Rattus norvegicus: one gene and its partner. The protein of the gene in region 2 purifies or fractionates together with the protein of the main gene of each other region. This does not show direct contact. Links are inferred from orthologs where the notes say so. Each region holds a gene or a part of one and is shown on either strand. Other genes may lie near its edges. The genes, in order: Psmb4 and Fbxo7.

Region 1 (4,345 bases), on a different chromosome or scaffold from region 2:
GGCAGACAGATTTCCGAGTTTCAGGTAAGCCTGGGCTTTATATAGTGAGATCCTGTTTCAAAACAAAAAACCCAACTCAGCAACACTTCAAAGGACTGATTTATTTTTACAAAAGTCTGCCTTTGAGCCAGCTACAGTCACGTTCACAAGGGCCAAGCTTCAACTCTGGACACTTCATCTGGATTTCATTCAAAGCCACTAAAAAAAGAAACATTTAGGAAAAGTGAAGTATTAAGGTCTCAGCTTCTGAAGGAGCTCCCCCCAAAACCACCCAGAGTTTCTGCTTGAGCCCTCCAGAAGGGACAGCTCTGGGAAAGCCAACAGCTTCCCTGCTCTGCCCATCTCCTGCAGGTCAGTTACCTGATCATGTGAGCAATGTCCCAGTTGGTCTGTGCTGACAGTGGTCCTTCTATCTCCACACCTTTTTCAGTTACAGTAGCAACTTGAAACTGCAAGAAGGCAAAGCGAGCAATGAAAACCCCAGTCCGGACAAAGATCAAACAGAAGGCTGTCCTTCATTTGCAAAACAGTGGTCCCAGAATTTGCACTTTAGTTTTTAGGACAGCATCCCACTATGTAGACCAAAATCGCCTCAAATGCAGAGTCCCACCACCTCTGCGCTGGGACTAGGCATGCAGCACCACGCCTAACTCCAGAATTTATACCTTGCAGCCCCTTTCTCACCCGGTTATACGAACGAGCGTCTCGGTAGTACAGCACTCGCATGCAGCGCTCCACAAGCTCTCGGGCCTCTGTCTGACTCAGCACCGGTTGCTTCTCTAGAACTTCTCGAAGCAGAGGCTACAGAGGCAGGCAAAGAATTGGAGAAATTAAGACACTGGCTTAACAGAAGGCAACCTGCTCCCTCCCACGTCAACAGGCACCAAAGTGAATGACAGTTTTCTCCCCACTGTTTCAAAAGAACTGGGTGCTGGCCTTTTTGTCCAACATTTCTTTTGTATGGGTGTGTGCACATGCATACAGAAGTGAGAAAACAGCTGAGGTGCTGGTTCCATGGTGATCCCAGGCAGGCTGTCAGCCTTGGCAGCAAGTGCCTCAACCCAAAGAATCTTTGTTTTGTTTTTGAAATGGGAGTCTTGCTATGGAGCCTGGTCTGGAACACACAGTCCTCCTGGCCCCAGTCTCCTGTGCACTACTACTACAGAGTGTACAGCTAAGACCCTCTTAAAGAGGGGAGTCCTAGGGCTTCTACTCTGTAACAAGGCCATTCTTCCCATCACTGTTTCTTGTCACTGGAAGGTAATGTAAACATATTCTCCTTATACAAAGAAAACCAGCTGCCCAGCCTTAGGATCCCAGCTTGTCTCTTATCAGAACTCCAAGGGAAATAGACTAACATTGGCTTCTCATCTATTTCTCTCTTCCCTGTTGCTAGGCCCACTACTTACCTGAGCCAAGTATGCACCATAACCAGTGGCTAGTGAAGGGGCTTCATAAGCTACACCAAGCATGTCCACATAACCAAGAAAGCTAGAGGGACAAACAGATCAAAGAATCCATTTAATCTTATATTTCTTATGTGACCATGAGAATTAAAAGATGGGAGTTCTCTGGGCTCAAAGAATCTGAGGGTAGGGAAGCTGGATGGCTCAGTGGGTAAAAGCACTTGCCACCATGCTTGATGACCCAAATTTAATCCTTAGAATTCAGAATATAGAAGAGATTGACACACACGTGCACGCACATGCACACACTGTAGTACACAAGCACACATACCAAAAGAAGTGTAAAAAAACAGTTTAAAGGTGGGTGGGGCACAAAAAAAGGAGGAAAAAAACAGTTTAAAAGACTGAAGAGGGGGCTGGGGATTTAGCTCAGTGGTAGAGCGCTTACCTAGGAAGCGCAAGGCCCTGGGTTCGGTCCCCAGCTCCAAAAAAAAGAACCAAAAAAAAAAAAAAAAAGAAAAAAAAAAAGAAAAGAAAAGACTGAAGAGACACTACATAGGTGCTAGCTTAGGCGGTCAAGGAAGTCATCAAATACCTTTCTCCACCAGCATAGCCTCCAATGACCATGGTGTTCCACAGAGGGTTCATCTTGGAGCGGCGACTGTACATGGCCCTTGTCAACCATGAATGGATAGCTCTAGGACTATAGCTATGTCCATCTCCCAACAGCTCCTCATCAATCCTAAATACAATTGGATGAGAAAGGAGTGATAACCGACAGGTTCCCCACCCACTCCTGTTCTACACGCAGTTCTACACTCCCAGATTGCCCCAATTCCAAAAAGTGTTCCAAACATTCACATGTGTCTCAACAATTACCGAAAGTCTCAAGTCCCTCCATCCCACCTACGGGAATAATAAACGGAAGGTTGTCCGATTCACATGGAGACGACTTACACCATCTGGCCGAGAACTTGCTTCAAATACTGGAAATCAGCATAGTCTCCTGAAGCACCTAGCATAGTGCTGTCGTTGACTCGCATAATACGAGAGATATTGCGGAAACGAGCCAGGGAGCCGTAGGAGCCCAGCATGTCTGCAGCAATCACCACTCCGCAGTCGAACTTCACCCCTAGTACGGATGTCCCAGTCACCATGGGGTTCCTGAAGTATGAAAAGGGTCTCTGAGCGCGGAGGCCGGCGCCCCGATTGCGGCGGCCCTCGCACCGCAGGTCCCCACGTCCCGGCCCGCCGCCCCTTCCCTGCGCGGTTAGAGCGCGACTCACTGGGTCCGAGTGATGGGACCCTCGCAGGGCGCAGACATCGGATCCATGAGGCAGCTGGGGGTGGACGGGACGCGGTAAAACTGCCCCGGAGCCGGACCCCCGGCCCAGTGGCCAGTCCGTGACTCCCAAAACGCTTCCATCTTAGTCACCACTGCCGAAAAAATGAAAGCGCTCCCGTCACCGGAAGCGGAAGTCGTCGTTTGCCACGCCCCTCTTCTTCCTGTCTGCCACTTCCTTGCGCGAAGACTCAGAGGCACTGTATTAATGAGGCGGTTTGGGGAGTCTTGATCCAGAGTAACCGCTAAGACTGATGGAAGTGCAACGTCGCGTCCTCGTCCCACTGCAGTAGGGATGCCTCTCAGCATCTCAGGAGGAGCAGGCCGCGTGGGACAAGCACCAGGACCTGTTATCACGTCCTGTTTGGATCAGTATCCAAAACTCGACTTGAGGGCTGGAGAGATGGTTCAGCAGTTAAGAGCACTAACTGCTCTTCCAGAGGTCCTGAGTTCAATTCCCAGCAACCACACCGTGGCTCACAGCCATCTGTAATAGAATCAGATGCCCTCTTGTGGTGTGTCTGAAGACAGCGACCGTGTACTCACAAAACTTGAAGAATCTCTGAACCCAAGCTCACTTAATAGCTTTACTTCTCAAAGCAGGCCCCAAGTAGCAGGAATTATCAACCCATTCGATAGATAAGAAGCCGATGCATGAGATACAGTGGTTTCCCCCGTTACAATCAATAGAGGGTAGAAAAGATACAAACCAAGCGGAAGAGACGGCTCACGTTAAGAGCACTCAGGTTCGAATCTAAGCACCCACGCGGTGGCTGACAACCATCTGTAACTCCAGTTACAGATATCCTCTTCAAGACACCGAGGGCACCAGGCACTTACAAGGGAGGGAGAGGTGGACAGGGGGATGGTGGGGGGGAGGGAGGGAGGGAGAGAGAGAGAGAGAGAGAGAGAGAGAATGAATCTCATCTTAGTACTTAGAGGGCTGAAACAGAAGGAGTGCCTCCAGTACAAGGCCATTCTGGACTACATTCCGAGCCCAGGCCAAACTGAACAACCGAAAGGTCCTGATTTAAAAGGGAAGTCAGGATAGGGGTAAAAGTGCTTCCTAGCCAAATACTACATTCAGAAGAGTTCAGTCACCTGGGCCTCCTTGGAAGATGAAAATCAGCTCTCGATGTTTGTCTCTGACCTCCACATTCACCCTGAACTCATACACATGCAACAATAGTGAGTAAAACAAAGCAATGAGTTGGTGCTTTTAAAGGAAGGATGCTACACTTATGTCTTCCTGAAACAGGTGGTAGATTGGTCAGCCTGTGAAACCTTGGACAAAACTGAACATTTCTTTGTTGTCAAATGACCTTTCCCATTTCCTAAGCAAAAGAAAAAGAAATCCGCTGTGAACTAGAGGCAGTAGAGCAATGTCACCCCCTCTCCCCAATAGCATACAAAATAATGGGTTTCATTACAGCATTTTCATCCCTTGATGTCATTTTACTCTGCTCTTACTGGTGCCCATCCCAGTTCCCTTCCCTGCCTCCTCTTCCTGCCTCTTCCTGCCTCCTCTTGTTGCTTTCCCTCCTCCCTCTGTCTAAATAGATCCTGAATGTTTCCATCGACACAGGTTCTATTACCT
Region 2 (4,512 bases):
CTTCAAGTTTCTAAGAGCAGCGCCAAGGAAAAAATGCAGTAGGGATTGGTAATCCCACAGGAAAAAAGATCAGTCCTTCATGTCTGAGGAGAAAGACCATCAAACCCAGATCATCATGGCCATATTAATTAATGCAAGCTTATGTTTTGGTTTGTGAACATGGGCTGGACATAGGTAAGGTAAGGTTTTAATAGTTCAGGAGCAAGGGGGGTTTCCAGATGAGGATTTGGCAGGCGAATAGGCACTGATTACTGAAGCAGAACGCACGCACGCCAAGTTGGTCATGAAAACCTCTTGAAATGAAGACATGGTTTGCAAGGGGTTCACAGCGGGTTTGTCATAGCAACAGGTTGTCATAATAACCTTTTGTAATAAAGGCATGGGGCAGTACAGAGCCATTCGTAGTTATGTTTACAGGTGGGACATAGACCAATCCTTGAGAAGGAGAAATGTAATCATAAACAGGAATGGACCTAGTTTGCTTTTACTATAAGATGTCGTTTGAGCCTGAGATGAAGGCAGGCTGGTTTATCAAGATTTAACCTGGAAAGTGGAGAGCTATACTGTTGTGGCCTTCAAATCCATGGAGAGAGACCAAAGACTCAGGCTCAATTCAAATTTATATTAAGTGAGTTTATTCTTACTGCTAGCAGACGGCAGGCATCTTTAGAGCCAAAACAACATTCCATAGGGAGAAGGGGGGGGGCTAAGGATTAAGAGGGGGGTTTAAATTGGACATCAGAAAGGTGTATATTACAACTATTCACGAAATCCACAGCTGGGCAGGAAAACTGTTTTACTTTCCTCAATTGCTTCTTATCTTCCCTATGTAGTAATTAAAAGATCATTTCATCTGTTTCCCATAGCGATAGTGAGTTTTAAAGAAGCAAAGGCAGCTGTTAATACCTCACGGCCATTGTCCTATTCTTATCTCACCTGTAGGCCTCTAGGATCTCCCAGGCCGACAACAGCCCTTAAGGGATCCCTGGCTCCACATCCTTATCACCACAGGGGACCTATGTAAATTATAGGCAGGTCTGAGCACTAATGACCGGAATAGAACAGGCAAAACCAGGGCCATCAGGTTAGGGCGTCTGTCACGTCTGCACACTGTGGGCAGCGCTCGTTCCAGCGCTAAAGATCCTGCAAGCTGGGACCGAAAGAACGAACTCGCTCACCCGGGCGGAAGCGCACAGGGTGTAGCGTGGGCACTCGGCGCAAGGCAGCGAACTCAGCGCCTGCGCCGTGCGCGCCTCGCCCCCCAGGTGGCGCTGTCGCGCCCAGAGCCACCGATAGAGAAGCGCAGGCGCTCGGCACTCGGCTCGAGCAGAAGGCTCTAGGGGGCGTGGTGGAGAGAGCGGCGAGCTGGGATTCCTCAGGCGCGCAGGCCCGGAGCTACTTGCTTTCGGTTTCTCCCCGGGCCGACCGAGGCTTGCGGTCCGCTCACCATGAAGCTGCGCGTGCGGCTTCAAAAGCGGACCCAGCCGCTCGAGGTGCCGGAGTCGGAGCCGACGCTCGGGCAGCTGCGCGCGCACCTCATCCAGGACCTGCTGCCCACGTTGGGGTTCAGGTGAGCGGCGTCGCGGTCGCGGGGCTCGGGAATGGCGCGCGTCGGGCGGTCACATGAGGTCCGGGCCTCCGGGGCGTAGCTGGTCTAGACGCCTGTGACTGTGACGCTCGGCAGCTGAGTGCTGGCCGGGGTCTGGCTTTGGGAGACCATGGCCCAGCCTCCCCCTGGTGCCGCTGTCCACCATGGTGAGTAGTCACTTCCGGGTTGCTGTCACGGCCGCCCCGAGGGCGGGAGGGAAATTCGGGAAGCTTGGCTTGCGTTAAACCTCCCAGTGTAAACCCACTGTGGGTGGAATTTACCTTAGCGGTTAGGATACTTCAGTGGTTAAGTCGGGGAAAGCATCGTAGCTGAAGTGACAAACTTCTTGACATCCTACGTCGCTGTAATTTGTGCCACCGCCCAGGGCTACAGTAACAGGTGAGCGTGCATGTGCCAGACTGCACTTAACTGTAACTTTCTCACTGCAAGGTTTGGAAGTACGCATTCTTCGGGTCACTGGGCATTTTCTGGGTGAGAATGTTTGTTGCTTTTTCTCTAAAATAGAGGCTTGACCCTATAGAGCTTGCAGTTTTGTGGCAAGTTGAGAAAGGATTAGGTTCTATTACTAATTTATGGGGTTGCAGATGAAGCTTCTATGTTTCTGTAGAAGATATTTTCAGGACGTAGAGAGACAACTATATGGATGACCCATTTCAAGTGCTGAGCTAGAAATTTGAACTAGTGAAGAAAATAAAATTAGAAGATGGGCTCTGGTGCTTTTAAAGGGAAAAATGTTAAAAGAAAAACTCTTCCCGTTAATTGGCATTTTAAATAAGTCTTCCCCTTTTCACTTTATTTGTAGGGAATTAAGCAAAATGAAACTGATTAGATTGGTCACCCCCCCACCCCTCCCCATTAAGTAAGCCTGAGGTATACCTTTATTCTAGCGCTCTGGAGGAAGAGCTAGGTGTATCTTTGAGTTCATTCCGGACCAGCCAGTGTTACACAGTGAGACCCTGTCTAATAAAATAATGTTAGGCAAAATATTTTAAAAAGCCCTTTTTCACATTAAAAGAATTAAACAATGTATTCCCATATCGTATATTATATATATTTCCATATAATGGTGACCTACCTACATGTTACTCATTTGGTGTAAAACTGTTTTCTATGTTGATAACAATTGCCACTCCTCAGGCTTTGAGAATGCAATTTTTAAGGTATTTACAAATTGTATTACTTCTCAGTTAAGCTGGGCAGTTTTGAAAGGGTGTGAAACCCAGAAGCCCCTGTTAGTTTCTCTTGCCTGCTGTTTTCACAGTCGAGGTCGGTGTGAAAATCTGAAATTTTGCTCATTTGGGGTACAAAAGGGAAGCTTTAAAATGTGTCCATGTGACACACTTGTTGTTCTTAAAGAGTATTTTCTAAGTAAGCAAACCAAAGATTGGTATAAAACAGATTTTTTTTAAAGTTTGAAGCTTCCTCTTTCCTTTTTGTTTTTGTTTGGAGCTTCTAGAATTGCATTTTTTTTTGGGTGAAATTCCCCCAATGCCGGTGATTACAGAAAATAGGACCTTGGAAAAACATGCCAGAAAAGTGGGAGGGGAAGCTAGCATCTCTGTTAAACAGACGGCTCCTTATCTTGTCTACAGAAGGAATTGTTTGCTTGGGGACTGTCCCCTTTCCTGCCAAGGTTGACCTGGTGTTTTCATGGGCACTGGCAGATTTTCAGCTTCTTGCTGATCAGAACACTTTGCAAGCAGCAAGCAGAGCAGCTTACTGTCTGTGGAGTAGGAATAAATTTAACTCCAGTAACATCTTTAATTGATGAGAAAGGAAAGGATGCGTGTAAGAAAAAGGAATCGGGCTGGGGAGGTGGTGAAAGCTTTTGATGCCCAAGCCTGGCACCGGAGTTTGAAGTCCTCGCACTGATGGGAAGCCGGAAGTAAAGTGGTGTGTTAAGTTTAAGAAGCTCCTCGAGTTCAGCCATGTTGAAATACTGAAAAGTATATGCTCGAGGATCGATGAACATATGAATTAATGATAAGTATACCTTCCAGGCTATTGAAGTTTTAGTTAGAAGTCTGTGACCCAGGCATTTGATCAGAAGAACAAGTAATTTTGTCCCCTGCTTTCTTTCTTTCTTTCTTTTTTTTTTTATATTACATAGTGCTTTTGGGCACATAGCATGTACTTTAATGTATTCCAAATGCATTATTTGGAATATTGGTAGGTAGCTCTTACTATGCTCATCCGTCTTTCTTGGCAGTTCTGATACCCGATTTGCAATTACATTGAACAACAAGGATGCCCTCACTGGAGATGAAGAGACCTTGGCTTCATATGGGATTGTTTCTGGGGACTTGATATGTTTGGTTCTTGAAGATGAAATGCCGGCACCTAACTTACCTTCATCTACAGATTCAGAGCATTCCTCTCTCCAGAATAATGACCAACCTCCTTTGGCTGCCACCTCAAGCCAGGCTAACATCCCAGATGAACAAGGGAGTGATTCATCCCACGGACAGGTCACCCAATATGATGCCTGGACCGATGACAGTATGGTGGGTATTAAAGATGAAGAGATGGAATAGAGTAATTGATAAGGTATATTGACACTTCAGAGGAACTCCACACCGGTCAGGATGATTAGCATCAGTAAACTGTAGACTGCCCGTGGTGAACATGTTTGGTTTGGTTTGGTTTGGTTTGGTTTGGTTTGGTTTGTTGAGACAGGGTTTCTCTGTGGTACTGGCTGTTCTCTCTGCTCCTCACTCTATAGAGCAGGCAGGCCTAAAACTCAGGGCCTCTGCCTCCCAAGTACTGGGATTAAAGGCTGCACCACCACTGCCCTGCTTGAACATTTTCTTTCTAACTGCTAGATACCTGCAGTAATATTATGCTGGCATTCTAACTTGCCTGGTCTTTCACATAGACACTGCCTGTTCTGCCCCTCAGTGGGA

Evidence for each region.
Region 1: the proteins of Fbxo7 (region 2) and Psmb4 purify together in Homo sapiens (affinity purification with mass spectrometry; 3 studies listed by BioGRID and IntAct, counting the BioPlex papers as one, with this or other methods). This does not show direct contact. The link is inferred for Rattus norvegicus from reciprocal best matches to the Homo sapiens genes FBXO7 and PSMB4.

The regions. Positions count from the first base shown.
Region 1 is NC_086020.1:185,131,705-185,136,049, forward strand, and holds Psmb4 (proteasome subunit beta type-4), read right to left. Parts: upstream 2,858-4,345; 5' UTR 2,833-2,857; coding exon 2,693-2,832; intron 2,571-2,692; coding exon 2,364-2,570; intron 2,149-2,363; coding exon 2,002-2,148; intron 1,492-2,001; coding exon 1,410-1,491; intron 802-1,409; coding exon 685-801; intron 450-684; coding exon 361-449; intron 199-360; coding exon 186-198; 3' UTR 83-185; downstream 1-82. UniProt on the Homo sapiens protein: Non-catalytic component of the 20S core proteasome complex involved in the proteolytic degradation of most intracellular proteins. This complex plays numerous essential roles within the cell by associating with different regulatory particles.
Region 2 is NC_086025.1:19,722,084-19,726,595, reverse strand, and holds the start of Fbxo7 (F-box only protein 7), read left to right. Parts: upstream 1-1,415; 5' UTR 1,416-1,448; coding exon 1,449-1,570; exon of another isoform or gene 1,571-1,718; coding exon of another isoform or gene 1,719-1,755; intron 1,756-1,813; exon of another isoform or gene 1,814-1,987; intron 1,988-3,818; coding exon 3,819-4,113; intron 4,114-4,512. UniProt on the Homo sapiens protein: Substrate recognition component of a SCF (SKP1-CUL1-F-box protein) E3 ubiquitin-protein ligase complex which mediates the ubiquitination and subsequent proteasomal degradation of target proteins and plays a role in several biological processes such as cell cycle, cell proliferation, or maintenance of chromosome stability.